Linked DNA regions of Coturnix japonica. The protein of the gene in region 2 binds, or shares a complex with, the protein of the main gene of each other region. Links are inferred from orthologs where the notes say so. Each region holds a gene or a part of one and is shown on either strand. Other genes may lie near its edges. The genes, in order: LIN54, RBL1, MYBL2, LIN52, LIN9, TFDP1 and CCNA2.

What was found.
Region 1: RBL1 (region 2) and LIN54 share a complex: the UniProt entries of both Homo sapiens proteins name them as parts of the DREAM complex. The link is inferred for Coturnix japonica from reciprocal best matches to the Homo sapiens genes RBL1 and LIN54.
Region 3: RBL1 (region 2) and MYBL2 share a complex: the UniProt entries of both Homo sapiens proteins name them as parts of the DREAM complex. The link is inferred for Coturnix japonica from reciprocal best matches to the Homo sapiens genes RBL1 and MYBL2.
Region 4: RBL1 (region 2) and LIN52 share a complex: the UniProt entries of both Homo sapiens proteins name them as parts of the DREAM complex. The link is inferred for Coturnix japonica from reciprocal best matches to the Homo sapiens genes RBL1 and LIN52.
Region 5: RBL1 (region 2) and LIN9 share a complex: the UniProt entries of both Homo sapiens proteins name them as parts of the DREAM complex. The link is inferred for Coturnix japonica from reciprocal best matches to the Homo sapiens genes RBL1 and LIN9.
Region 6: the proteins of RBL1 (region 2) and TFDP1 are in contact, whole or in part, in a crystal structure (PDB 5TUV), measured with the Homo sapiens proteins. The link is inferred for Coturnix japonica from reciprocal best matches to the Homo sapiens genes RBL1 and TFDP1. Residues at the interface, in NP_002886.2 of Homo sapiens: Tyr1004, Phe1006, Asn1007, Ser1011, Leu1014, Ile1017, Asn1018, Ile1021; in NP_009042.1 of Homo sapiens: Pro260, Phe261, Ile262, Thr290, Phe291, Glu292, Ile293, His294, Asp295, Ile297, Glu298.
Region 7: the proteins of RBL1 (region 2) and CCNA2 are in contact, whole or in part, in a crystal structure (PDB 1H28), measured with the Homo sapiens proteins. The link is inferred for Coturnix japonica from reciprocal best matches to the Homo sapiens genes RBL1 and CCNA2. Residues at the interface, in NP_002886.2 of Homo sapiens: Gly654, Ser655, Ala656, Lys657, Arg658, Arg659, Leu660, Phe661, Gly662, Glu663; in NP_001228.2 of Homo sapiens: Met210, Ile213, Leu214, Asp216, Trp217, Glu220, Glu224, Arg250, Gly251, Lys252, Leu253, Gln254, Tyr280, Ile281, Thr282, Asp283, Thr285, Tyr286.

What each region holds. Positions count from the first base shown.
Region 1 is NC_029519.1:41,208,983-41,212,702, reverse strand, and holds part of LIN54 (protein lin-54 homolog), read right to left. Parts: intron 1,737-3,720; 5' UTR 1,702-1,736; coding exon 1,009-1,701; intron 1-1,008. UniProt on the Homo sapiens protein: Component of the DREAM complex, a multiprotein complex that can both act as a transcription activator or repressor depending on the context. In G0 phase, the complex binds to more than 800 promoters and is required for repression of E2F target genes.
Region 2 is NC_029535.1:560,318-564,037, reverse strand, and holds part of RBL1 (retinoblastoma-like protein 1), read left to right. Parts: intron 1-210; coding exon 211-260; intron 261-266; exon of another isoform or gene 267-438; intron 439-445; exon of another isoform or gene 446-1,930; coding exon of another isoform or gene 1,931-1,986; intron 1,987-2,836; coding exon 2,837-3,023; intron 3,024-3,666; coding exon 3,667-3,720. UniProt on the Homo sapiens protein: Key regulator of entry into cell division. Directly involved in heterochromatin formation by maintaining overall chromatin structure and, in particular, that of constitutive heterochromatin by stabilizing histone methylation.
Region 3 is NC_029535.1:3,097,578-3,101,297, forward strand, and holds part of MYBL2 (myb-related protein B), read right to left. Parts: intron 2,866-3,720; coding exon 2,726-2,865; intron 1,745-2,725; coding exon 1,645-1,744; intron 1,047-1,644; coding exon 933-1,046; intron 370-932; coding exon 253-369; intron 1-252. UniProt on the Homo sapiens protein: Transcription factor involved in the regulation of cell survival, proliferation, and differentiation. Transactivates the expression of the CLU gene.
Region 4 is NC_029520.1:34,236,885-34,241,223, forward strand, and holds the start of LIN52 (protein lin-52 homolog), read left to right. Parts: upstream 1-1,369; 5' UTR 1,370-1,461; coding exon 1,462-1,480; intron 1,481-1,567; coding exon 1,568-1,642; intron 1,643-1,737; coding exon 1,738-1,775; intron 1,776-2,296; coding exon 2,297-2,363; intron 2,364-2,861; coding exon 2,862-2,945; intron 2,946-4,226; coding exon of another isoform or gene 4,227-4,240; exon of another isoform or gene 4,241-4,339. Other genes in the region: ALDH6A1 (methylmalonate-semialdehyde dehydrogenase [acylating], mitochondrial), read right to left, coding at 6-80, 924-983, 1,117-1,167.
Region 5 is NC_029518.1:14,868,851-14,872,570, reverse strand, and holds the end of LIN9 (protein lin-9 homolog), read right to left. Parts: intron 3,636-3,720; coding exon 3,453-3,635; intron 3,343-3,452; coding exon 3,245-3,342; intron 2,062-3,244; coding exon 1,956-2,061; 3' UTR 675-1,955; downstream 1-674. UniProt on the Homo sapiens protein: Acts as a tumor suppressor. Inhibits DNA synthesis. Its ability to inhibit oncogenic transformation is mediated through its association with RB1. Plays a role in the expression of genes required for the G1/S transition.
Region 6 is NC_029516.1:123,705,269-123,708,988, reverse strand, and holds part of TFDP1 (transcription factor Dp-1), read left to right. Parts: intron 1-1,276; coding exon 1,277-1,398; intron 1,399-1,673; coding exon 1,674-1,839; intron 1,840-2,008; coding exon 2,009-2,155; intron 2,156-2,815; coding exon 2,816-2,884; intron 2,885-3,720. UniProt on the Homo sapiens protein: Can stimulate E2F-dependent transcription.
Region 7 is NC_029519.1:48,272,068-48,276,313, reverse strand, and holds the start of CCNA2 (cyclin-A2), read right to left. Parts: upstream 2,842-4,246; 5' UTR 2,827-2,841; coding exon 2,692-2,826; intron 2,589-2,691; coding exon 2,372-2,588; intron 2,047-2,371; coding exon 1,934-2,046; intron 1,626-1,933; coding exon 1,402-1,625; intron 875-1,401; coding exon 670-874; intron 1-669. Other genes in the region: BBS7 (Bardet-Biedl syndrome 7 protein), read right to left, coding at 3,467-3,603, 4,120-4,243. UniProt on the Homo sapiens protein: Cyclin which controls both the G1/S and the G2/M transition phases of the cell cycle. Functions through the formation of specific serine/threonine protein kinase holoenzyme complexes with the cyclin-dependent protein kinases CDK1 or CDK2.

The DNA.
Region 1 (3,720 bases), on a different chromosome or scaffold from region 2:
TTCGAATACACTGTAGCAACAAAGGAGGTAAAGCAGAAACAGGTGCAAGGATCATCTACTGATTTAAAACAAACTATCACAGTCACACTTGTTCATGCTTGCTTAACATGGAATACTAACTGTAGAATGTACCACTGCCTGCAGTATACTTAAAAGTCATTTTTTCACATGCAAGAAATTTGGTTTAGCTTGTATACTTGGAGCTTCCTTTCTCATTTTACTCAACCATAAAAATGATTATTTTCCACTACAACCTCCACTGAGTCCCAGCTTTCCTTTCGTGACTTTTTGATACGTGTCTCATCTCCATTTAGAACAAAGTCATTCGTGTTCAGTTCTGCCATGTATCAGATATCAGACCCCTTTGGCTAACAGCCCACGTCTTTTCAACATATTTTCAGATCCCTTCAGATTCTACTTTCAATTATCAGAAGATCTACATCTGAGGCAGCAAATAGCACTTAGAAGTGTCCACCTTACAATATAATCTAGCTGATCAATATACACTGATAAGCTTAAGCAGGTTTAAGGCAGACAAGATGCACCGCTTTTGTTCCTTCTCAAATGCATTAAGGTTCTTCAGAGACTTTACTTCTAACAAGCTAAGCTTAAGAATTTAAGAAGCTGGTTGCTCTTGAAATGGGAAAGCAGCGTGCACTTAGAATAAAGAATGGTAGTCATCAAGAGTTCAATTCATTCTTATGAATGCATATAGAGTTTATTTTTATAAAATGAAAACAATGGGAAAATTCAATATAATGAATTCTGATAGTTAACTTTCTCCGAGGCAGACCCCTAAGATTCAAGACAGTAGCTGGGAGATAAAAGGCATACAATTGTAAATGCATTCACAGATGGAAGAGTGGGCTAAGAGAAGCACTGTGCTTTTATACAAGGAAAGGAAAGGCTGAAAGCAACCTTTCAGTGTGTCAGCCAGTGAAGGAAGCAGACAATAGTCGCACCAACAGAATCATTTTAAAGAGGTTTCATCAGCATAACTCACTTTACCTGTACTGTTTTTAATTGCTGTGTCTGCAAAACAGAAGGCTGGGCAGCAGTATTTATCAGCTGACTTCCTTGCGTTAAAGCTGAGACACCAACAACAGGTTTCACTTCTGACCGACCTCCAATAACAACTTTGATCTGCTGGCCTTGTACCTTGGAGTCTCCACCTTGGGTCTGGGACACAGTCTTCTGCGCCTGCGGGAGCTGGCAGCGAGGCAAGGCTAAAACAATGGGTTGGCCAGTCTTGCCCAAAGCTGTTACAATTAGCTTTTGCCCATCAGGTTTAATGCTCTGATTGCCTATTTTAAGGTCAGTGGTCTTGTTCAGAATAATTTGATTGGCTGATATAGTGACCGGAGTCTGAGCACCAAGTTTATGTAGACCACTTTGAAAGGCAGGCTTTACTATTGAATTTCCTTCAGTTTTTATGGTTGTGGTGCTTGCAGTCACATCGCCCGAGTGATTACTGGGTGCAGTAACTGGTTCTGTGGTGACTGTGGCTGTAGTCGTAACCGAAGCATCATTGGTGGAGCTTATGTTCACTATTTCTTCCAGTTCTGTTTCCATGGGAATAGAATCTCCCATTGGTGAAGACACGATAACCGCCTCAATGCTGTCATCTTCCACCAGAGTGATACCAGTGTCCATTATTTCCTCAGGGAGCAAGCTGTTTACTTCTGCTGAAACCACCTCCATGTTAGCAGTTGTGGCAGTGATGACTGTAGCAGGTACTGCAACAATAATAAAAATAAATTAGTGGCTTCCAAAAAAAAATAATACACATTTCACAAAGGTTTATGAATAATATTATCAAAAGAAAAACGTACAATAGCAGAAAACACAAAGTATTGTGTGTATGCAATGGAGGAATATCATGGAAAAAGAAAAAGCTATCAAATTCTAACACATTTGACTGAGTTTACTTTCACTAAGAATTTACACCAAAGCTCTTCAGTATCGTCCATTCATAAATACAGGCACCGACTTTCTTCTGATTACCAGTCCACCTCTGGCAATTTAGTACACCTAAAGTAGCGCTCCCCTCCCCCCAAGATGGGTACCTTGCTCACACAGATATATACTGAGATACAGAGCAAGAAGTAAAAAGCTACACAAGTCCAGAAGATGATGACCCATTTTGTCATGTGTATCAACACCTACTAGTAGGGTGCTTTGCCTCGGAGACTTGTTTTCCACTCTAGATGCAACAGGGGTTCACTGTTGTTTTCTCGTTTCAGAAGTCTCATGCAAGCAAACAGCTGTCTCTGTGAGAGGCTTTTTTAGCCCCAGAAGCTCAATCGACAGGCTACTTTTGAGACCAAGGCAAAACTCATCCCTATTTTTCAGTGGATTAGTATGAACGCCCAACTTATCTACATTAAGTTTTACATGACAAACCTTGAAGACATTGCTGGAAACAGCTTCACTTATCACTTTCACTAAAACTGCATCACTGTCAGACTAAAAACAGATGCACTTATTACAGCACTTCCTTCATTTGCTGACCCCATCAGTATGCTTGGATACTACATGGGAGAGTAGGTGGCACACACTCCACAATCTTGAGTACTTCTGATAAGTGCAAGAGGACAAGATCCTCGTGTATCCAGCTTCCTTATTTCTAGGAAAAGCAGACAATTTGAATGTAACTAGGTGACATATGTAATTAAGAAACTATATTGCTAAAAAAAACATACTAAATGCTGGGGTAACAACTGACTCATCTGGGGTCATTGTGGTTGGATTTTACAGGGTGGTAGGTAACCATAGAACCGCTGCATTTCACCCATGAAGTAGAAGGATGAGGGAAAACCAACCTGCTACAGTCTACCTTGTTTATACGTTGAGCTTAGAAGGCCACATTATACTAGTCACTGGGCCCTACTGATCTCAGTGGATACCATCCTAGTTCCACTCAGCTCCTGAGTACAAGCTGTATCACACTGCTAACTGATATTCAAGCATCTTCAGCTGTGTAAGAACTTGTTCAGACAACCTACAGTCAAACGCATACACAGCTCACTTATTGGCAGACATTTAGATGTCTGTTTTCTGATGTCACAGCCAGAAATACCTCCTCTTAGAGAGTGTTTATCCCAAAGTAATGCCAGAACAGCCTTAATTAATGCCAACCCTCATAACTAGCACTAGACACAACACCTTACACCTAAGGACACACCAGTAATGTTAGTATCATGTTGCTGTCTCGGAGTCAAAGTGGTTAACTGTGTACAAGGTAACAAAAAAAATGGAATAGGAGTAGTGGATTATTTTTGCATATGCTAAGCCTACTAACACTTTTTTGGGTTGTGCTGTTTTATTTTCCCTTCAAACTAAACAGGACTGTGCCTTAAACCTTACAATTCAGGGCTATTCTGCATATAAAAAAAAAACCAAACATGTCATTCTTATCCTGAAAGGAAGAAAGGGCTTGGATCCAGATGTTAGGTTCTTAAAGTCAACCACAAATACATATGCTCATATACTTGAAAATAAGAGAATCATCTAAATCAGGCAATGGAAAAAAAAAATCAATTTAGTATCAATATACTATTTCAAATGATTTAATTTTGGATTGCATAATTATGTGCTGTTCCATTTAAAAAAAGGTCAGTCTTAGTTTCTTTTAGTAACATAACTGTAATGAATTGAAATATACCCAAGAAGCAATGCAGATAAATAAACTTATTTCTTGTATTCTTAGTGCCTCTGCCA
Region 2 (3,720 bases):
AGGTTGGATAGACCTGAGCTTTGACCTGGCCTGTGCCTCTTACCAGCAGCATTGTGCTGCTTTGGTCTTGGCTAAAGGAAAGGTCTGTTTAATGCTCCTTGTGCTTTTGGTAAGGGCCGACTTGCTGTCGCATTGTTGAGGTGGGATGGTTTTGATTTGTTATGTAAGATGTTTCTGCTTTCTTTTCTTTTTTTTTTTTTTTATTCTTAGATCTTAAAAGGAGAATGTCTGTTGGATCTTTGCAATTTTACAGAAAATAAGTAAGTTATGGATTGCGGTTCTAATCATGGACTTGGGTTTTGTTTCTTCAGTTTCTCTGAATGCTAACTCTCACTTTTTCCATGTCTTACTTTGTCTCACTGCTTGCGGTGATTTGAGAACCAATGCTGTTACTTGCCTAAATGCCTCCTGGGTCTGAGATGGCTCCAGTGTCAGAGGGTGAGCTACAGAGTTTCTTCCTTAATGTCAGGTCACAGAAAGGTGCTCAGGCCTGGAGCAGCTGCTCAGGTCAGGGCAGAGCTCCCCATCCCTACCGGAATATTGCAGTTGTGTGGATGTGGTTTAGTGGTGGGCTCATAGTGCTGCCTGAGGATAGAATTTGATCTTTAGGGTCTTTTTCCAGCATAGATAACGCTGTGTTGTTCTGGCAGCTGTTAAGTTTTGTGTAGTCTGATGCAAATCAAAGCTCTGAAGTGCATGGATATGTTAACTATGCATACCTCAATATTTGTATGTGAATAGGGAGGTATTTAGGGTTGTTTATTAGTCTCCAGTTCAGTGCCTAAATCTGTGAATGCAGTGGGAGAGCTCAAAAGAAAGAGGAGCAACAGCTGCAGAACCACAAAAAAGCACAGAGGTTTCAGGGGAGGTAAGTGAATCTGTGCAGGAGCTTCTGACATTAAGTCTCAAAACTAATTTAAATGAGAAGATTTGTTCTGTTTTGTTCTGGATCCTGTCAAGAGCTTCTTCCTCTGCCAAACGCAGCTGATAATTCATTATTGCAGGGTGAGGTTTGAGCTGGTCTGTTTGCTTTCTGAGAAGCGTGAGCAGTGACTGCACCGCTGTAACGGTGTGGATCGCATTCAGATGTGGAGGTGCTGCCCTGATCCCTATGGAGCAGTGAGCTGTGCTAGTGTTCCTGCTTAAAGAGTGATAGTATTGATAGTTCCTGTTGTGCCAAATAAGGCAGTGTTCCCTATTCTTTATTAAATGATATCTGAGGAAACCAATCTATGTCTGCCCAAACAGAAGGCTCCGCAGCCTTTGAGAGGTTAAATGTTCCTCTTCCACGCACAGGTTGGCTGGAATTGAGAAACCAAAGGGGTTGTTCACTATCATGGATGTCAGTGGCGACTTGGGGCATTGAAGCTTCAATTTCCCTTCCTCTGTGCTGTTGAGGGAGGATGCCACTGAGCGCCAGGCAGCCAAATCAGAGCTCAGAATTAGTTCACTTAATGCAACCCCTGCTGCTCTGCTTGGACAGAGCTTTAACTACTGATGGGCTCTTTCAAAGCTGTTTGTCCCTGGGGTAGAAGCACGTTTTCTCCCTGTGTGAGCCCAGTGACTTATAATCAGGATGAGTTTTTTGTTCAGTGAGTTTTCACAGTGGGACATATTGGAGTTCAACTCATTTAAGTTGTTCGTGGTGAAGAAATCAGAATCTGCTAGGAAACTTGAGCAGCAGCAGGGACCTGGCAGATACAACACTACCTGATGTTAATGGAGCTCAGTCAGCCTGCAGTTGTTTTGATTTGGGAATTTCTGTCAACATTTTATATCCTGCACTTAGACTTCTCCTGTGCCATGGAGGCAGCTCCATTCACATCTAGATTCCCTTCCTTTTGAAGGACTTGCCCTCCATCTCACAGGTGTCTCCAAGTTCTGTTCCAAAAACAAGTGTCATCTCACTGCATGGGCACAGCACCTTCACATGCAATTCAGAACCCAACCTGTGCAATCATCTGACTTCCCTGAATACCAGCACTGGTACAGTACATCTCTTTCCATTCCCAGTCCAGAGTGATTCCATTTTCTTTACACATTACTATGAAATTTTCTATCTGTTCACTTTGCAGCACAGAGGGGAATGGGTACAAGAAGGGAATTGGGAAAAAGGCTTTGGCAGCCTTAGAGTGAGTCACCAAGTACCTCATGGTCCCACATTCCATGTTTATCTACTAGGTTTTCAAAACATTTGGGAGGATTTCTCCTGTTTCCACACAGTAGAGAGCATGGAACTAATTTAATGCTAATTATCATCTAAGAAAGGCAGTTCTTTTTTCTACTTCCTTAGGAAAGAATAAGGGAAATGTAAGATTTCTGAAGATGTCCATGTTAATGGTGTTTGAAGCACATGCATCTTCATTTGGCAGGTTTCAATCTAAAATTTCTGGATCAGCAGATGGGAAAATTGTCCAGAAAAGCATGATTCTCTAGATAGATAGATAGGTAGATAGTGTGTGAAGTAATTCAACTGTGGAGCCTGCTGCCATGATTTCAGCAGTGTCTGAGATTAGTGCACTGTGTGGGCATCCCTGCCCATGGTGGGAGCAGCTTGGAACAAGGCGATCTTTAAGGTCCCTTCCAACCTGATCCATTCTATGGTTCCATGAAGCACTGGTGGGAGAAGAACAGGCCGTGCAGTGCACTGCTGTGGGAAGCCTGGAGCTGAAGGCAGCCAAGGAGGGGCTGTAAGCAGGCTGCTCGTGTAGGGAAGCTCCATGTACAAGCACTGCTGTTACTGAGAGCATTAGAAGCTTTGAGTTTGTGTTGGCTTCAGTTTATGTGTTTGTTCAGCAGCTTAACTTTCACTGTAAAACTTTGACTTCTCTTCCAGCAAAGCATTGAATAAAGAATATGAGGAGTATGTTCTAACAGTGGGTGACTTTGACGAGAGAGTTTTCCTTGGAGCGGATGCAGAGGAAGAAATTGGAACTCCTCGAAAGTTTCCTGCAGATTTGCAAATGGGGAAAACAGCAGCAAGAGCTCACGTGGAGTGTCACCTTCAGCAGCACTTTGAAAAGGTGGTTCGTGGAACTTGTTTTCATGGGGAAGTACTCCTAAGTTTGGAGTCAAGTTTTCCTATCATTGTACGCAGTTTAAATCCCTGAGCCGACTTGGAAAAGCTGCTTTCCTTGGGTGGTTCACTGGGATGAAGGAGGTGAAAGACATTTGTAGGTTTAATCGGGCAGTCTTGCTAAGAGAAATTGTGGTGTCATCTTTGTTACGTAATGCAGTAAATAACTGCTCCTTAAGCAGGGTGGGAGCCTGTGAACTACTGCTGTTTTGTCCAGGAGAAATGTCTAGGTAGTTGAGACCTCCATACACAGAGTTATTTCGTGCTTCTTTTATACCCAGTAAGAATACCATGAAACCTTTCATAGGGCAAATGAGGGCAATGATAGAGCCTTTATTTGAGAAATGGGCGCTATAGGAAAAGATATCAGAAGGAATTAACTCACACCTCCCAGTAACAGCTTGGAGAAAGGGAGCCCAGCATTAGGAGGAGGAACTCGTTATTCTGAAGTTCTGAGGGCGTGGATTTGGCAGCCTTCCTTGGCAGAGTTTTAATGGTGCTATTTAAATCTTAGAAGTGATTTTGCAGGAGTTGCTCTTTTTGCACCAATTCTCTTAGATTTTTTTATTGATTATCCATCTCTCTCACAGAAAAGGTCATTTGCACCTTCAACACCTCTGACTGGAAGAAGGTACCTACAAGAA
Region 3 (3,720 bases), about 2.5 Mb from region 2:
TTAATCTTCAGTCCGTGACTCAACCTACAGCCCCTACACCATTCTTGAACTCTGGATCCCACAGCCCTTGATTGCTAGTGTTAAAACAAAACCTATTTCTGCTGTTTTGAAGGGCTAAAGGTCCCATACTTGCTAAAGACAGAAAATGAAAGCAGTAGTGGTGCTAGCACAACACACATCTCAGCAGCTAAGTTTGCCTCTCAGCCCTGCTACAGTCAGTTCTACCCCTGCTCTGACTGCAGCACTCCTCACCTGGGTTCTTTTGAAACAGATAGTTTTGGGGAGGGCTGGCATATTTTGTGTCATATCTTCATCCACGATATCCAGCGCCAGTGACTTCCGGACCTTCTTAATGGGACTCCTACGCAACTGGTGAACACAAATACAAGTGTGAGTATGAATCAACTCAGTGAATTCCCATCTTAAGGGCCAAGGGTGCATTCCAAGCCCACAAACCCCCCTGTATCTGCATTGCACTAGCACCTCAAAAAGACACATTGCCTCCTTCCCCACCACAGGGCACAGCAGCGTCTAGTGTTCCCCACACTGGCACTAAGAGACACTGATTTAGAAGGGGAAACTCCTTCCAGCAGGAGGGGAACATCACATCACCTGGGCATACAGAGCCAAGAGACTTTTGGGCCCGTGGAGCCCAACTTGCCACAAATGTTGGAGGACTGCCCTAAGTCTTTCCTTGCATGTTAGGGAGACAGCATCTCTTGGCACAGCCCTGAGTTCTGCATAAACCAGGCCACAGCTGGCAGTATTTTAAGCAGGCCTCAGGCATACAAGCAGATTCACTCACTAAAAGGCAACAACAACACACTGAAAAACTTTTTGGCATAAATAGTAGGATGAACAGAGCCAGCAAAAGCAGCTCTCAACAGCACAGGGCAGCCCAAAAACAGATACTGAAAGCGAAACCACTTCACCCCTTGTTTCCTTTTCTGTTTCTCAGGCTTCACGTCATCCTCAATAATAAGTTCAATGCCAGCTTCACTTCGGAGCACCTCTTTCAAGTCTTCTTCCAGGTGAGGAGTCTGGGGCTGATGCAAGGAAGGAGAAAGAGCACAAGACTGTCACAGTTTGTACATCAGGCAGACTTAGAATTCCCTCAGTGGATAATGGGGCCAGGGTAACCCACAGGAGCTAACAGTGGGAAGACAAACATTACAAATTATTTACTTCCCAGCAGGAAAAGATGTATTTCTGTTAGCTTGACAGATTGACAGGATCTCCAGGCAAGGGAGACTCTTACCAGCTGTACCCCAGATGTGCCATTGTGTACTGAAGGCACAGTATACTTGACACTGCTATCCCCCCATATTAAGTCCTCGTTAGAGATTTAGGGATGTAATGTTTCCTTGCTTTCCCTCAAGGTCACAAATAACCAAGCACTGAGGCCATATTCAAAAGCTGTTTTGGGTTTGGAGTTTTTTCTTTGCTCCTTTGCCAAGGAGCTAGAAGTCCTGTAGCTACTTACCATGACACACTTGGTATGACAAGGTCTCCATCCCCCTTATCTCAGCCCAGCATTACCAAAACTGAACCATGTTGCTACTCAAATAATGGCTGGCTCACAGCTCTGCTGCAATCTACCCCATGCAAAGCCATCAGCAAGCAACAGACCTGTCCAGTACGTACCAAAGGCCTAATTGGTCCATATTTTTCCAGGGCATTTTTGAAAGGTGTTGGGGTGTGTGGAGTATTGTCCACCACATATTTCTGATCTGGTGTGACAAACCTGGCAGTAGAGAAGTAAAAAAAACTAAGAATCAGATATGCTGTAAATCACAAAGCAAACCCCATCCTTCCACTCACACTACACAAACCACCCGCAGAGTCTCACATGGTGACTGCAGAAGCCATATGTCTGGCTGGGGCATTCCTGGGACGTATGAAGGGCCAAAGGCTACCAAGGAACCTTCAGTAAGGAAAATATCTTAGAAATACCAGCTATGCTTCTCCACTCTGCCAGCTACCAAGCACCCTTATCAGAAAGTTGTACAACACCTGCAATACTGGCATGACAGATCCCTGCAGGCCAGCGCTACTTTGCAGTGCTTCTGCTAGCAGAGTTCCTCATGGCCAGCCAGAGCTTTGTGACCAGTGGAAATCCTGGTGCAATTACACTTGGAGCATCCAAGCCAGTTCACACCAATGGGATGTGGTTGCTGCCCTGGGCCCACACCAGTTTTTCTAGCACAGCCAGCACCTCCACAAACTGTGTTGCAACAGTATAGTGACATGCAGAGATAGGCCAGCCAGCAGAACACTCCCTGTGCAGGACACCCTCTCTCACTGGGCTGGGATGGTGCCTCAAGATCATTGCCCTGGACTGTCCCACAGTTCAGAGGGTGCAGAGCTAAAGGGAAGGGGACCTGAACAGCCCTTGTTGAAAAGACCAAATCTCTTTGCAGCTGGCAGAGGGCTCACAGCATGGCAATGCTTCCCAAAGATGCGCACGGAAGGCAGCAGCTGACCACACAGCTGAGCACAACAGCAGTCATTTGGCTGAGGTCCCAGCCAGATGGGACACTTGTTCCCTGCAGCTCACAGAGGAGCTGTCTTTGGGTGCCACATTGATTTAAGGAAATTCCCCAGCCTGCCTTGTCACTCTCAGTAGTGCCAGCAATGGGGAACGTTTGTTTGTCTTGAATCAAACTCCTGTGTGAAAAAGGACAATGCTCAGGTTGGGATGGGAAAGAAGAAATACAGGACTTACGCTGAGTTTTTCTGGAGCAGAGGAGTCTTGTCCCTGTGCAGAGGGGTGGTGACAATCACCTTCTGACTGCACACAGGTGTGGAGGTAAGAGATGGGTTCTCCAGTTCTAGTGTATCCTGTTTGGTCCAAAAGTTTAAGAACTGCGTAACATAGGTAAGAAAGAGGAAAACAGTCAGTCTCAAACTTCCCAACATGGTGTCCAGTGGCTAAAGTGGGTTCTTTACAGTAGATTACACAAGAAAGCACCCAGACAGATTTTGAAGGAGAGTCTACAACTCCTGTGGGCAGCATGTTTCATAGAGAAAATATTTTCCTCATACTCATATGGAACTTCCTATGTTCTCAGATTAATTCCAGGCATCTCAGCTTCTCATGGCAGAACTGTACTATTCAGGTCTCACTTTAATTCCCCAGTTCTTGATGGCCTCGTATTCAAGGTTGATTTGAACCTGGGTATCACAGCCCTATGGTGTTCTACCACGTTCCACCGAGGACAGCAGAAACACCAGAAATATAAAGTCCTGGAAGGTTCAGCTAGTGGCACAGGGAGGCAGAGTGTGAATGACAGAGAAGCTGTAGAAGTTTTGCTAGATGGCACAGAAGTGCAGCAGGATTTATCCTGTCTTACTGACAGAACTTCACTGTGTCAAGATAGGAATCAAGGGGTCTGAATGCCATAGCACTGCAGTAAGGCATTTGTTGTGAGACCAGGTATGGATGCTACCACAGTCATAGTAAAGATGGGAAAGACCTAAGCTTACATAACAAAGACAAGGCCCATGAGTACATCCCTGTGCCATCAACTCACAGATGTGCACCAGCAGATGCTGTCCACACAGATGACAGTGCTAAAAATAAGGAAGAAAAGCAACATGCACTGTCACAGCACTGCTATCCCCTGCCAGTAATGCCCACACACAGCACCCTGGACAAGGAAGCACTGTGCTCTCTCCTGCAGTAGGCAGGTGCAGATCTGCACAGCAGTGCTCCCTCCT
Region 4 (4,339 bases), on a different chromosome or scaffold from region 2:
CTTACAGGATTGTGGATATCAATCCATTCTGTGGTTTTGGACTCGACAAACTTCCCATCGATGAACAGTTTAGTTGTTGGCTGTGGAGGACAGCACAGTGAGTGATCTTTCCCTGAAAGTGCACACATAACAATGTGCCCTGTTATGTGCAGGCTTTTGCTATTTCCCACTGTACTCCATCATTTTTTTCCCCTTGATTTAGGCTAAAATTGTCAAAACCCCGTCTAAAAACTATTACAGAAGATACACATTGATAGAATCATGTTCAGAACTATTTTAATCTACTCAGTCACTACAATTGCTAAGTCATAAAAACCCTGCAGTTCACAGACATATTTAAAAGAAACCAGTTAATAATTCACTTGGTAAGAATTCTGCCCATTAGTTAAGGAGTTCAGGTAAGTATGGAGAAGAAAAAGCAGGGGTAGAAGATGCAGTTAGTGCTGCAACATGCAGGAAGAACTGGGGCCATATAAGTGAAGAGATTGGAATATAGTGCCAAAGGCTTTGCTGAAGTCTAGGTAGACTGTGCCAACAGCCTTTCCCTCATCCACCGGGCAGTTCACCTGGTGAGGGCAGGGATGCTAATGCTGCTGTGATGGTGGGAGAGGGATCAAAGGACGAATCAGGAAAATAAATGGGGCTGAGCCGGACAGGTCACGGCTGCGAAGAGTGTAATGGATAAGCGAGGCCTCGGCTTGTGAAGGAACGCGGCGGTGGGTTAAAATAAGAATAAGACATGACAAGTGCTGATGTGGCTGGCGTTACGGCGGGACGAGCCGTGCCGCGGGCTGCACTCGGGATAACACCATCTTCAGAACTGAAGGGAGAGCAGGAAATCCGAGCTGCTCCTCGGCCCGGCGGAGCCACCGCCGCGGGCCCCTCCAGCCCAACAGCAAACAGAGCTGCCCGGCCCCACTCACCACGGAGGAGGAGGAGACGGCGGCCGAAGCGATCCAGGGAGCCCCGGCTGTCCGCGGCAGCTGGATGTGGACACAGAGCAGCCCGGTTACACGGTGCTCCCCTCCTCCTCCACACCCCCCACCTCCTCCCCACCGCCCCCCGAGGTGCCACCCGCGGCCCCTCCCGCAGCGCTGTGTCCGTGTGCCGCCTCACCCTGAGCACCACGCGCCGCCCGCCCCAAGCGCCACGAGCCACCGCCGCCATCCCGGCCGAGGGTCACAGCGCTCGGACCCCGAGCGGAGCCCCCAGCACAGGGACCCGCCCCCGCCCGCTCATTGGCCAGACGAGCGCCCCCCCCGCCCGCTGTACGCCCCCCCCGAGGGGGCCTTGCCGGCCGCCAGCCAATCGCTGCCAGGGAGAGCGTCGCCCCGCCCCTTTCCCGCCACCGCCCCCCCATCCGGGGCAGCGATTGGCCACGAGCACTAAGGCGCTCGGGCTCTGTTGTCACGTGGGTGGATTCCCGCGGGCTGTGGGTTTAGGTCACGTGACGCAGGCAAGATGGCGGCTCCCGGTGACGGTAAGGCGCGCGAATGGGGTCATCGTCACCCTGCGGTACGGTCTGAGCGGGCGCCGCTTCACCTCCGTTCTACTCCCTGTGCTGTAGGTGCCGATCTGGAAGCCTCTCTGCTGAGCTTCGAGAAGCTCGACCGGGCTTCTCCGGACCTGTGGCCTGAGCAGTGTGAGTGAGTGCGGCGGGCCCGTGTCGCTGGGGTGATGGCGGGGCTGCCGGGCCGGCCCCGCGCTCACCCGGCGCTGTTCGGTTCTCTCTTGCAGTGCCCGGCGTCGCCGAGTTCGCCGCCTCCTTCAAAAGCGTAAGATGCCAACACCACGGCACTGCGGGTCATACAGGCACTGCGGGAGGGACGAGCTGCGCAGGAACGCGCTGCTCTAAGCCCTGGGGGTGCTGCTCTTACTGCTGGCTTTGGCTGTGACTTGCAGTAACACCCAACTCGTCCAGGAAGAGCTTTCTAGGCATTAGAGTAGCCCTGTAGGGTGCCTGGAGCCATCGCGTTTATTCTTTCAGTGTAACTGGTTGTAAATAGGTGACGGAGCACTGGAACAGGCTGCACAGGGAGGTGGTGGAGTCTCCTTCTTTGGAGATATTCAAGACCCGCCTGGACACCTACCTGTGTGACATGGTGTAGGGAGCCTGCTTTGGCAGGGGGGTTGGACTCGATGATCTCTAGAGGTCCCTTCCAACCCCTACAATTCTGTGTGTGTAAATGCTATATCAGGCTTTGTATGCAGCTAAAAATGTACTTCTCTGAGAATGTTTTGCTTTTTTTTCTTCCTTTCTTTTTGTTCTTTTTCTTTTTCCTCCCCCCCAAACCAGCCTATTACAAGCTCGCCTCCCAAATGGATGGCTGAACTGGAGAATGATGATATCGATATGTTAAAGGGTGAGTATGGGCTCCATGGGCACTGAGGCTGTCTGCGGGTGGGAATTCAGTGCCTACTAAAAAGATGAGCTCAGAGACCTTCTGAAGCCTTGTGGAAAGGAAGGGATGGGGGATGCTCCTCTTAATCTGCAGACCATCTTAACCTGCAGAACATCTCCAGTTGAATGATTCTGCTTAGGAGTCTTTGTCTTGTCAATTGCCTCTATCTTTAGTTGGTCCCACAAGAATATATACTGATAACAAAAATGCTGTTGTTCTCCTTGTTACTGCTTTTTGAAGCAGTAAATCCCTGCTGTTTATTTTTTCTTCATTTTTTTTGATTGCTTTGGAACAGTTAGAATGTCTTGCTGGTTATTATGAGTTGTGAGAGCTGAAGAACATATGCTGTACACTGTAAACCGATACTGTTCAAAGTATAACTTGAATGCTCTGTGAAGCGATAAACATAAGCTGCCACTAGAGGGCTACAGTGTTAAAAATCACGCTTTTTCCTTTTAGAGCTGGGAAGCCTCACTACAGCCAACCTGATGGAAAAGGTTCGTGGCCTGCAGAATTTGGCATATCAGCTGGGACTGGATGAATGTGAGTTCTGTGCACAGATGTGATGACTGTATTATGAATCTTGCCACTGAAGTGTGTGTTTATGTTGCACTTACAGTCAGAAAAGTACGTTTGCTGAAGTGGGGAATGTCACACAATTATGACAGTGCAATAGAGAATTTTCTGAAGAAAAAAAGAGTGCTGCTCTAAGCAAGTCTATCATGGATGCAGTGGAGCCTAATAGAGCACATTTAAAAGAATTTCTTATTTTAGGTCTTGTTTTCTGTTTTGAATGCTAAGGTCCAGTGTTTTCTAGTGGCCCATCAATTTCTGACTTAACTTTGGCTTAGGTAAATCACTCAGTTTGCTTCATTTACCGCTTAGGTGCTAACACTCTGTCACAGAGTATCTGTGCCACCACTTCTGTGACTGTGCGTTTGTGTACTGCCTACAGAGTGAAAATGTAACTGGTGTGCAGGATTCTGTTAGCCATTAGTGCTCTTGTAACTTTGGGCTTCTGCAGTTATTTATTTTCCATAGTCAGCTATAGCAGGAGGTGCTGTCACTGCATTCTAAAGTTGACCTTCATCCTGCTTACCAACAACCAATTTATGTCAGTGCCTTTTTTGAAGGGGGGTGGGGGTGGGAGTGGGGGTGGGGATGGGGGGAAGATGCGTTTTTTTTATTGTCATTGCATATAGGATTTTGTTGTTAATGTGCTGATCCGGCTTTGAAGATTCCAAAGGGATTGTGCTTCCTTTAAACAGTATCTGTGTGTACTGATGCATTTAACTTTTACTGCTTTATTTTGCTCTGTCTTAGACTTCAGTTTTAGCAAACTCTTGAGCTTTACATGAGGCTTTGAAAATTTTTAGGCTCAAAGATTTTTTTCAGCTTTATTTCAGTGGGTAACAAAAAGCAGTTGAACTTTGAAGTCTCGTGATTGTGAGCCTGGAATACATATTTCTTATCAATAGATCATTAAGCCTGTTTGAACACTCTCTCCATAGGTAGAAATTTACTTTCAGTGCCAACATCTACAAGGATTGAATAAAGCTTTTAGTGGAGTAGAAGTTATACTTTAACAATGGAAATCTTAATCAAATAATAAGATTGGCTGGTGGTTTGCTTTCTCGATTTATATAACGTCTCACTGTATTTGCAATTTATTTTCACCAAAGTCTATCTCTGTAACACATTGAGTGCTTTGTGTGTCATGACGTATACATGTATGTTAGGAAATCTTCCATATATAATTAAATGCTGAGTTTGACATGGGCTCTCAGCACTGTTTCTTCCAATACTGTCTTTTTCTCTTTGCAGACCTAGGTTATTAAGAGAACAAGAAGAAAAATCCCAAAGATCTGCTCATTAATATTAAAGAGCTTGTGCTTTTGTTTCAGTGGTATATAATTTGATTACATCTTTTTGTATTG
Region 5 (3,720 bases), on a different chromosome or scaffold from region 2:
AATCTGACATCATTCATCCCAAGTGGACTTGGGTGCCCAGGAGCCATCAGGGATGGAGTACTCAGAGCATTCACATGCATGTTCAGCTTCCAACTGTGCAACAGTGGTTTGCACACTGAGCCTGCAAGCTGCTGCTGGGGATGGCAGCCCCTGCTGCTTGTTTTCCATTGCACTCTGCAGGGACTGAATTCACTGAGCCACATGGGCAGCAAACAAGGAGACAAAGGTGAGCTGCTTCTCATCAGCACTGTGCACCAGGGGTTCAGTGAGCACCCAGGAACGAGGGGAGGGGTGAAAGTAAACTGCAAGAGGATTTTTTCCCCTCCATGTCAGCAGTAGATCACAACAGACTGAACCTTTGTATCTTATTAAGTTAGGCTCTGGCATTTCTCTCTAATTAAATGAAAACAGGCAGTGTAGGGAACCTTTCTATCCACTTTACCAAATACCACAAAATGAAAGCACTGGAAGGGCCACAGCCATGTTCTGTTACATGATGAGAGGGACAGCTCTGTGGCTAACTCTGGCAAAAGCAGTGTCTGGTGTTTTGTCACACCCCTTGTATGTTTTCTAGGTACTTTAGAACAGCCACTCACCTTGTCACCCTGGTCATCGTGTTTCGCTTTCAGCAATTAACTCCTCTTAAAAAATGACCTGAAACCACGTGCCAGAAGTTTGCATTTTTGTGAAATATATCAACTCTTAAAGTTCAATTTATTCAGTTACAAATTTCACCGAGAATAAAAGATTTATGCATTTCTCTTAATTAACAGAACAAGTTTAGCTAAATAGAAACTCTGCACTAAAGTTTTGCAGTGGCACAATACCAACACAGAATACAGAAGCATCTTTAAACTATACAAAATTTTAAAATCGAAAATAATCCTGTTTACATATTCTTTATACATTAACATATAAAAGGCCTCATTTAATGAGGCATCTAAAGGAATCCAAAACAACTCTACGGCTATCTCTGAAAATCCATATCTGGAAACGATTCATTACACAGAAGCTTTACAAGACTATTTAAACAAACCAAATACACACTTTTTACAAGATTAACATTCCAAAATGTACTCGTAGGCAGGTTGTCACTTTTCATCTTTGCAGTTTACCTCACCGGTTATATCTTATTATAAAAATCTTCATATTTATATATGTTGTGTATGTCAGATAACCAGGAATCTAATTTAAAAGTTGTGCAAAACAAACCCAAAGTTGGAAAAACAGTACGTTTTATCGTTCATTTATATAAAATACCATCTAAAACATTTCTTTTTGCCCCACATAAAGGGTAAAAGCCGCAACGACTCTGTTTTTAGAAAGGTATCAGTTCCATCTTTATATTCCTTCATTAGACTTCTTATATAAGTTATGATAAATTATATGTTCCAACAAGACACTGACTGATCTGTAGACCTGCCCAACATCTTCTGCAACTTTAGTTCTCCGTCTGCAGCCCACCGCTGCTTCTTTAGACCTGGAGCACTCAGCCCACGCCATCACCGTGCCAGCTGGTGGCATCTCAGGTACTTAGAGAAGTGTAGCTTTAAGGAACAAAGACTGCCACATAGCTACTGATGTGAGCCATTTCCTCTTCATCACTTTATCTAACCTACCAGGAGAGCCAACAACAAGAGGTGGGCAGAATTAATTTGAACTTTGAAAAACTAAGTTCAAATTATATGAAAGTACGTTTTCAGGTTTATTATAATAAATGCAATTACTAAGAGGTTACCAGTTAGCAAAACTACTGCATGTGAATAACAAATGGAGAAATTTAATGTAACGCTTGTCAGTAATGCTGGTTTTCTTAAGAAGCAAATACAATATGTTTAAAAGGGTCTGAGAGGTCTTCTTTTCCCTTATCTTCTGGCAGTTAGGGTATTTGTTGAAGCATATATAAATGAAGAGGATTTTCCAGAACTACTTGCTATACACTTGAAAGAAAGTTTTCAGTCTCTGTTGGTGTTATTAGCTGCAAAGGCATGTAAATTTCCCATCTGGCTCAGACCACTCTGAATGTGTGCAACATGGATCTCAACGTTATTCTGAAAACAACTACAAGGGAGAGAGGAAAAAAAAGAAAAGGATTAAACATCTTACATAAGGGTTCCATCTGAGTACTTCTACAAGGTACAAGCAGTCAAATAAATCAGCAGTACATTCCTATCAGTTATCAGCTTGCATTAGTAAATAGCATTTACAAAAACAGTTGCATGAAGTCGAAGTTACTGACTTGGGTTCTTTAAAGATGACTGTAAAGTGGTTGGAGCTAATAAAAGGAAAACATTGTGAAGAGATGGTAAAGTACCCAGACTGAGTACAGTGAAATGGAAAGATCGTCACCTTCTTAGCAGTGTTTCTCAGCCCTTAGTTGAACCCATTCTGACATTTACTTGCAGTGTTGATGACAGGAAGTTGCTTTCTTTTTTTTTTTTTTTTTATTTAAATCAAAATGGAAAAGTGCTATAAAATCCTCCGTTAGAATCAAAAAGCTGCTCTATTATCATTGCAAAAAATCAGTCAATCATGTAGCAATACCAGTGTGGAGGGCATAAGGAAATGCTTAGCATTTCAAGTTTTTGGTTGTTTTTTATTTTTTTTAATTATGTAATTTAGTGACTATGCAATTATGGTTAAAAAACCATGGCCACAAATGGTTGGAGTTTGCAGTACACTCAGGAAGAGTATCACTGTGTACTTGCTATTTTTATAATGCCTCCCCACCTGCTTGTGATAACTGCTGAAAAATGGACAGTGGACTAGAGCAGCCTTTGATCTGACACAATATGGCTGTTCTTTTGTGGTTTGCTTGTTTGTTTCCAGTTAAAATATTGTTAATAGAAGCCAGGCAGAAACTCTAATTGTCTCATATGCCAGTGTGTGATATTCACAGACAAGACACTGATTAACATTAAAAAAGAAGAATATGGAAATTGTACAGAAAATATTCTAAAATAACAGCTGTCAAATTTCCTGCTCTTCAGCCATTTTAGTTGTTGCTGTATCAATTTATCACTTTTTTTTTCTTTAATCAGGTTACTTCACTGATAGGTTCAAACAGAAAACTGCTGATCTTGTACTCTCTAAGAAGATCCCTTTAAATGGGACCACTTCCATAAGCAAGTAGTTACCAGACTAAAACCCTTACTTATACTCACATTCACCTCTAAAAGACATGAACGATTGCATGCTGACACAAAATGAGCAATTAGGAATTAAATATTCAAAGTAGTAGTACCTGATATTTGAGGAATCTATTGAATTCTTAATGTCATTTAGTGAATCTGTTAGTGATTTAAACTCAAAGGAATTCAGGTCACCTCCTTCTGCTAGACACTGCAGGAGAAGAAAACAAAAAATGTTCTAACAGTTCAGCACAAAGAACCTGACAGAGGTCTAATATTGTGGACTTAATTGGGAGACACTATTTTTTGCTATTATTTTACCTTAATCTGCAGTAATATTGCTGTAAGTCTAGAGATAAGGTCAGTTAAATTTTCACTTTCAACACAAAGCTGTCCTGTTGTTGAGGAATTTGCTTGCCTAACAATTTCCTGAGCCTCCTCTTCACACCTCCGCCTCAGATCTGTTGGCTGGTCTGCGGGTTGGAGGCCTTGGTCTGGAGCAAGCTGCACAGATAGAAACAAAGATAAATGAAGATTAAATAATTCCTTCGCATTTAGTGCACATATGAAGTGACAAATGATTGCAATA
Region 6 (3,720 bases), on a different chromosome or scaffold from region 2:
TTGTAAATCTAAAAACATTAAAAGAATGTAGAGAAACATCAGATTACTACTTTGACTTCATTCTTTGCCTCTTCCCTCCCAGTTTTCTTTCAAATTCCATCCATATTTGTTCTGTTATCCTGTGGTCCATCCTCTATGATTCCATCCATAAGCTTTCATTTTAGAATGTCCCCAGTGTCCCAGTGACTTCATTCTATTGAACTCTTAGTGCTATTTTAATGCAAAGTCATGATCTTCTGTGAACTTGTGAGTAAAGCCTAGGGTTATCAGCATTTCTTTTAAGGAGACGATAAGAATGCTAAATAATTCTTAGACGAATCTGAAATTCTGGGCTGTGGGGTCTTCCTTAATTGTCAGTACATACTTGTTTACCTTTGAATAAGGCACTTGTGAGAGTAATTAGATTTCAAAGAGTTATTTAAAATAAAAGCAAGTAACCCCACATTGAAGAAGCTCCTTTTTGCCTGTAGGATTTATCTATTCCTCTGTGTTCTATAGAAAAACAGAATAGTCTTAACATATGATTGTTCATTATGTGAAGACTTCTCAATATTTGATAGGAATATTAGGCTTCTTAAGGATACTTACTGTATTTCTAAGGTTCTCTATCCCTCACATAGAGTATTTGCATAATACATGAACCAAGATCTGAGCCATACCCTTTATGTGAAAGCATGGGCCTTATGATATAAACATATAGCATAAAAGCAGATTATTATGAGGCTAAAATAGCTATAGTGTAGCTGTAGTTTCTCAGTAATTGAGAAGGGTACACCATTCTTTTTCTTCACTTCTAATGTACTCATACTTTGTTTTTAGCTCTGCAGTGAGAGTCTGCCTGTAGGAAACAATTCCTTGACACTGCACTGTTTTTTCTCAGCTTTTACTCATTTTCAAACCTTCTTGTTCTGTACATTTATATTTTAACAGTAATTTACTGCAACATCTTTAGATGTAGTTTGATAGGATTTTTTGTTTTGTTTGCCTTGGACCTTGTCTAAATGAGAGTTGAAGCATTGTAAGAAACCCAGTAAGCATGAAAAGCTCATTTTGGAAGGATAAAATAAAAATGATTATTGCTTAAGGAGTGATTTAACCATGTGATGTGCGGTCTGAAGGTTTTTGTGCTTGTGTGTCTAAGTTGAAGGCTTCTGTTACGAGTGTATAGAAAGTAAGCATTTTTTGGTTCTTGACTAATGTGTCATGAATAATGCAGTATCTGAACATCCTGGGATAGTTATGGTTATTTTCTAAATGATTTTTATCTTTGTTGTAGGTTATCGGTACACCTCAGAGACCTTCAGTGCCAAATACTATCCTGGTAGGAAGTCCACATACACCTAACACACATTTTGTATCACAAAACCAGACTGCAGATTCTTCGCCGTGGTCTGTTGGGTGAGCAAAATAAAAGTTACAAAGGATTAATAAATTACTTAGAACTTTTGCTCTAAATGTTTGCCGTGATAGTGTATATGCTCTTCATGCTGGCAGTGTGGGAAAGACAGTCTGTTTACCTTCAAGGGTGGAATCATACAAAAAAGACATTGGGAAGGGGAGAAGAGTAGAATAAAAGGGAAGACCTTGGACTTTTGTATCTGTGCTTGGAAAAGAGATGTTAAGTATTCCAAAAGTTCAAATCTTCTTAAAAAACATATCATATGTATGTTTAGGAAACGGAACAGAAAAGGAGAGAAGAGCGGCACAGGTTTACGTCATTTCTCTATGAAGGTTTGTGAGAAGGTACAAAGAAAAGGAACGACCTCATACAATGAGGTGGCAGACGAGCTGGTTGCAGAATTCACTACCCCTGATGATCACATTTCACCAAATGAATCAGTGAGTATATGGGAGGTTAGTTACGTGTGAACTGAGTGGGGAGGCTTAGATTTCTTCTCCCATTGCTTAATTAAACAGTTCAGATAATAACCAAGATTACACATTTGCTGTAATTTATTTTCAGACGTTTTTGTCAGGCATGTTTTTGATTAACGCTCTATGTCTACAGCAGGCTTATGACCAGAAGAATATTAGACGACGTGTCTATGATGCCTTAAATGTCCTCATGGCCATGAACATTATCTCTAAGGAGAAGAAGGAAATCAAATGGATTGGTCTACCTACAAACTCGGCTCAGGAATGTCAGAATTTAGAGGTAAATGTATAGGAAATTCACAATGGATTTGTTTTGAATAAAAACTTGGATTTGCTTTTATTCTACATGTGCATACGATCTTCTGAGATAAAAAGTAGAATAGTTTGGTCCCTTCTGACTTCCTTTTTAATTTATGTTTATGCAATATGCATCTGAATTTTCCAGATTGCTTGAATATATATATATACACACACATATATATATTGCTATTTAGTTGTATAAAATGCAGCAGATCTAATCAGTGCTTAGTACTGTGGGAATGTAAGCAGCTTCATTTGTTTAAGTATCTTTCTCTTCTCCGATAGCTCCAATATCAGCAGGGTATACTAAGTAGATCATTCTGGTCTACATGCTCCTTGCCTCCCTCCTAGAATGTGGGTAACTCTTTGAGGCATAGCTTCCACTTACAAAGATGTTTTTATGCTCTTCCTTCTATATTCTGCTTTATTCCTGGATATCTTAACTCCTCTCTTTGTTACAGTTTCCATTGGTAGTACTGATGTGAGACTTTGTAGATCTCAGCATCTTCTGCAGTGCATTAGTGACTGATGCACTTGTTGCCTTCATTTATCTGGTATTTAAACAGTTTAAGGGGAGAAAATGTTGATAGAAAACACTATTTAAAACCTACAAACTAATCAGTTTGTTCTCTGTCTTAAGGTGGAGAAACAGAGAAGACTTGAAAGAATAAAGCAAAAACAATCTCAACTACAAGAACTCATTCTACAGGTACAGTCAAGGTACTCTTGTCTATAGGGCAAGGTAACTTACATCTGCATTCCTCGTTTTGTCCCACTGGGGAATGGGAGACCTCTAAGAAGGCTAGAGATTAATTTTGGGATAAAGGTAGCACTGGGACCATGGTGTTGACTGTTGCTTATGGCAAAGGCAGCAACCTTCTATGAGCCATGATGGGTTTTTTCCTGTAGTTGTATGTTTAAAAAAAATTTGCGTTAACAGGACCAATAATTCATACTGTACTCCTCAGTATTGTACAATGAATGTTTTTCTGCAGTAGTCCTCAGATAAAATAGCTTGACTTTAACAGGTCATCTCTTGTGATGATCTTTGTCTTGCCTTTCTTGAACGTTGCTGCCCTGCCCTGTAGGTGGCTTAATTGCATTGGCACAGTTGCTAAATTGCAACTTGAGCTCCTTTCCAGATTCCACCTAGTATTTTGTAGGAAGCAGTAATCCCCTGAGTCCCTGTACTGCTGGTTCACTGTAATGTATTGTGTTATGTATTCAGTAAGAATGAGAATCAGGAAGGGCGTGCAGAAAGAAAAGGCAATTGTGGATTTGCAATTTCCACAACTATCTGATTTTTACCAGCCTCTGTTGGCTTTGTATTTTCATTTATTTATTTGAATTCCCATGTATTTCATTGTATTCCATGACCAGAAACACGCTATTTCTAGTTTGGTGGCTTAGTGTAAGATATTAATGTAAATTGGGTTTTAGTAGTTAACTAGAATAATTTCAAAGACTAACAAACAGAAGAATTAAAATACAAACAATCCATTCATGCGGAAATTGCATTCCGAGGAAATTCAAGAGTGAAGTTAC
Region 7 (4,246 bases), on a different chromosome or scaffold from region 2:
TAACAGGGAAACAAACCCCAAACTAAAATGCAGCAGTCTTGGCCTGCTTTGAGTAAGCATTCATGTGGAGCCAGGCCAAGTACCAGACTGTAACAGTAATGGAATGTCTCAAAGAGCAGCAATGACACTATTGCTTCCAGCAGTACAGATCTGCTTCTGGAGGAGCCAGAGGCACATCATGAGCACTTCTCAGATGTGTCCCAGAGAGATCACACACTTGAACATATTAGGAGGTGGAAAAGTCCACTCTAAAAAGCCCTTTACCACTGGTCTGTACAAATACAGCTGTAAGGTGGAATGATACAAAGATGGTAACATTCAAAAGGTTATTTATGAGGAAAAACTCACTGATATGGATGCCTTCACTGGGAAATGCTGAGGCAATCTCCACCAAGGAGCAATCTCCACCAAGGAGCAATCTCCAAGAGATGCTGCCCTAGTGATGGTCAGCCCTTAAATGAGGTCTAGAGAAGGTGGAGTCAAGCTCCATCCCTTCCTGGAGCACAGCTAAATTACTCTCACCTGTGCTCCCACAGCTGCCCCAACACTTGCCTCAGCTGATTAACCAGAGGTTCAGGCTGTGATTACCAATTTCCCATACAACAGCTCTTGTAAAATGCATTAACAACAGAACTCTACAGTTCCACAGACTGAGCTAGTAATCCTTACCATTGATAAGCTCTCAACTTTAGCGTTCGTCTGCTGGTGCAGGAAATACTGAGTGAGGAACTGGTTGATCGTTGGAGCTGCCAAATCAAATGACAAAACCTTCAAAATTAAGTGCTCCATCCTCAGAACTTGCTTCTTGTTGTAGGTGTCATCCGTGATGTAGACAAACTCTGCTACTTCAGGGGGGTAGATTTCCTCAAACTTCCTGCCATGAGAAACAGAAGCAAACAGTTAGGGACTAGAGAACCAGGCCACCAGCAACACTTCATTAAAACCAGTGTGCTGAACTGTGTGCTGACTTCCAAAGTAGCTGGATACAGTGACTGAGCAAGCTTGCTGCACTCAGGTTGATAGGTCTCAAATCACCTGAATTTGAAGTTAAAGAGTTTCAACAGCCTGTTATTTTGGGACTAAGTAATTTAGAACTTAAGAGTTACTGAAATTCCAGAAGAAAACTAAATAGCTTTTTCATACTCTTTCTTACTATTGCCTTAATTCCCTTGTGAAGCCTTTCACTCCTACATCTGGAAATCCTCCCATTAGGCCAATCTACAAAGACAACCTGGAATCTCACTTGCAAGGCTTCACATGGGCTGCCAAGCTTTTGTATATTTCAACCTATTACAAAGCCCTTACTAAACAATATGATTACAGGCTATCATATGAAAGCTACAAGACTTCCATCACTATGAAACCAGTAGGTGTTATTTTCCATCAAGAACTTTTACTTACGATGCGAGCAGCATAGCCGCAGTACCCACAAGCTGGAGCTTTCCTCTCAAAACAGACATTGAAGAAAGAAACCTGTCAATGTAATTTACAGCTAAGTGCAGAGTTTCATTCTGGAGCTTGTACTCTTCTCCAACTTCCACCAGCCAGTCCACCAGAATAGCTCGCATGTTGTTGGTGATGTCAGGCTGCTTCTTCATGTAGCCTATTTTAGGCTTGCATTTTACCTGTGGGTTCAGATGACAGACAAGACTGAGTTTGGATTGGGTGCCTGCAGGGAAGCAGTCACTCATACTCCCATTTACCATACCCAGACTGTTTTTAACAGGTCACAATAAGCAATGGTCAATCTGGACTCAGAAAGTTACATCTGCATCATGTGCTTTGTGGCTTGTGCTCAGTGCAGAGCGCAGCCAACCTCCCAGCAGGAAGCAGGGGGACTTACTCCTAGCTTTACTTCAGTCACTGTGGCAGTAACTTATCCTCAGATACACTCAGCCCAAATATGCGAGCAAGAGAACGGGTGGCATCTCACCTCCATTTCCCTAAGGTACTTGTGGATATCGCTGACATAGTCTGGCACATTGTTAACGTTTGGTCGCTCTTCTGCTTCTGAAGTTATGGAGATATCCATGATACTCGGGGAGTCTAGGAGAAAGGCCTCGTTAGAAGGGGCCCGGCAGAACCCCGTGCAGCAGGCGCGATGCTGTTGGCCGGCGGGAGGCCACGCAGGGGGGCCAAGCAGGCCCTGGGGAAGCCGAACCATGGCTCAAGGAGGAAGCGCCCCGCTGTCCCCACTAAGGAAGGGCCGGGAAGCCCTTTCCCGGCTGCCCAACACACTCCCCCCTTCCCTCCAGCCGAGCCCCGCGCTCCAGCCCCGTTCCTCAGCCTCAGGCCGCGTCCCGCCGCCGGCACCACATCGCGCGGGCCGGGCGCTCGCCCCGGGCGCGGAGGGGGCAGTGCCGCCGCTTACCGAGGCTGAGCTCCATGGCGTTGCCCAGGGGCGCCAGGGGCCGCCGCTCCCCCAAGGTCCCGAGGGCGGCCCGCAGCCCCGGCGCGTCCGCCGCCTCCTCATCCCGCTCCTTCTTCCTCTGAGGCCGCCGCGGCTCCTCGTCGGGCTCGTCCACGTAGACGCTGAAGGGCTGATGCCGCCCCGCCGCCGCGCCTCGGCCCTCTCCGTTCCGCGCCGCCTGCGGGAGCGCTCGGTCAGCGCCGTGACAGCCGCCCTGACAGCTGCACAACGCCCCAACATGGCGCCCGCCCGCCGCCCCCCGCCAAAGCCCCGCCGCTCACCTGCGCACCGAGCCCGAGCCCCGGCCGCGCCGGGCCGCCCCGCAGCAGCCCCAGCGCCACGCGGGTACCGGCGGCGGGCGGCGGGGCTTTGGCGGGCGGGGGGACGTTCTCCTGGTTCTCCTGCTCCGCCAGCATGGTGCCCGCCGGGGGGGGGGAGAAGCGGCCGAGGGGGAAAGGGCCGGGGGCGGCCGCGGAGCGCGGATGTGCGGGTGTGTGCGGGTGTGAGCCGGCGTCCCGCCGCCGCGCAGTCTCGCGGCCCGGAGCCGCTGCCGCCGTTCGAGCAGCCCGCGACTATTGAATCGCCCAATCAGCGGCCAGGCGTCACGCGGGCACCAGCCGCGCGGGGGGCGGGACCGGAGCGCCGCAACGCGCATGCGCAGCGCACACCGCGCGCCGCTTGGCCCCGCCCCGCCCGGTGACCGCGCAGGCGCAGCGCACCACACCACAGCTGGGATTAGAACTTTAATTAGCTTTAATTACAAACTCGCAGCTTCAGGTACAGGATCCTAAACGTACTTTACAAACATCGCTCTTACATTCCTACCCTCTGCATCGTCTCTAACTGTACTGAAAGTACAGGAAAAAGGCCGGTGGATACAGCTGTCTGTGTATATTCAGTGGAGGTGTGAAGATTGCTGTGTGCAGCACTCTATATATATGGAGTGTCCATTCTAATATATATATATATATGAACTCCAGTGCCTACTGCCCTCCCCTGGCAATAGGCAGCACACTCTGCACACACACACTGCACACACTGCCCGTCCTGTCCCGCTCAGGACGCGGCCTCAAAGAAGGCGAGCAGCCGGTCCTGCTCGCAGCCATCCAGCAGCTCCAGCAGCAGAGGAACTTTGCTCTTCACGTTGGTGCCTCGAAATTTAAACTTATCGATGAAGAGATCAGTGATCATACCTGCAAAAGTCAAATGTCTGTTGTCAGTACGACCAGCAACCAGCTTAATTTCCACGTGGTTATTTCTGCCTCACACGTGCCTGTCTCTGAATGGAGGAAGGAGCTGACCTCACAGAGCAGGCCCTGTATGTGAGGACAGGGAGCCCCTGAGCTGAAAGCTGAACAGGGAGCTCTACAGAAGGTTACAGACTTTCCTTCACTCAATTAGTTCCTCTCCTAAGATCCTCCCCTTCCACCCCATGTGCATTTGTCTATTATTTTGTAACACCTCAATGCTGGGAACTCCATCAGTCAGGTATACATACATTCTTAAGCTCCACCCCAACTCACAGCCCTCAGTCTTGCCAAAAAAGACAAGCTTAACGTACAGATGTAAAAAGCTACTGAGGTGTATCAGCCTATCAAATCATCTCAGCTCTACTAGTGCTGACCTCATAACTACTTCAGCAGCATCCAGGTTGCGCTCTCTGAGCGTTAATTTGCAGTTAGGACAAGAAGTTTAATTGATCAACAAACCGTAAAGTCTCTCGAGATGTGCAGGTTGTTTCTTGTATTCCTCCAGCAGCTGATCTGCCTCTTCCAAAATACTGCGGTATTCTGGCACCAAGAAGTCCGCGTTTCCTTCTTGAACTTGTAATTCCTC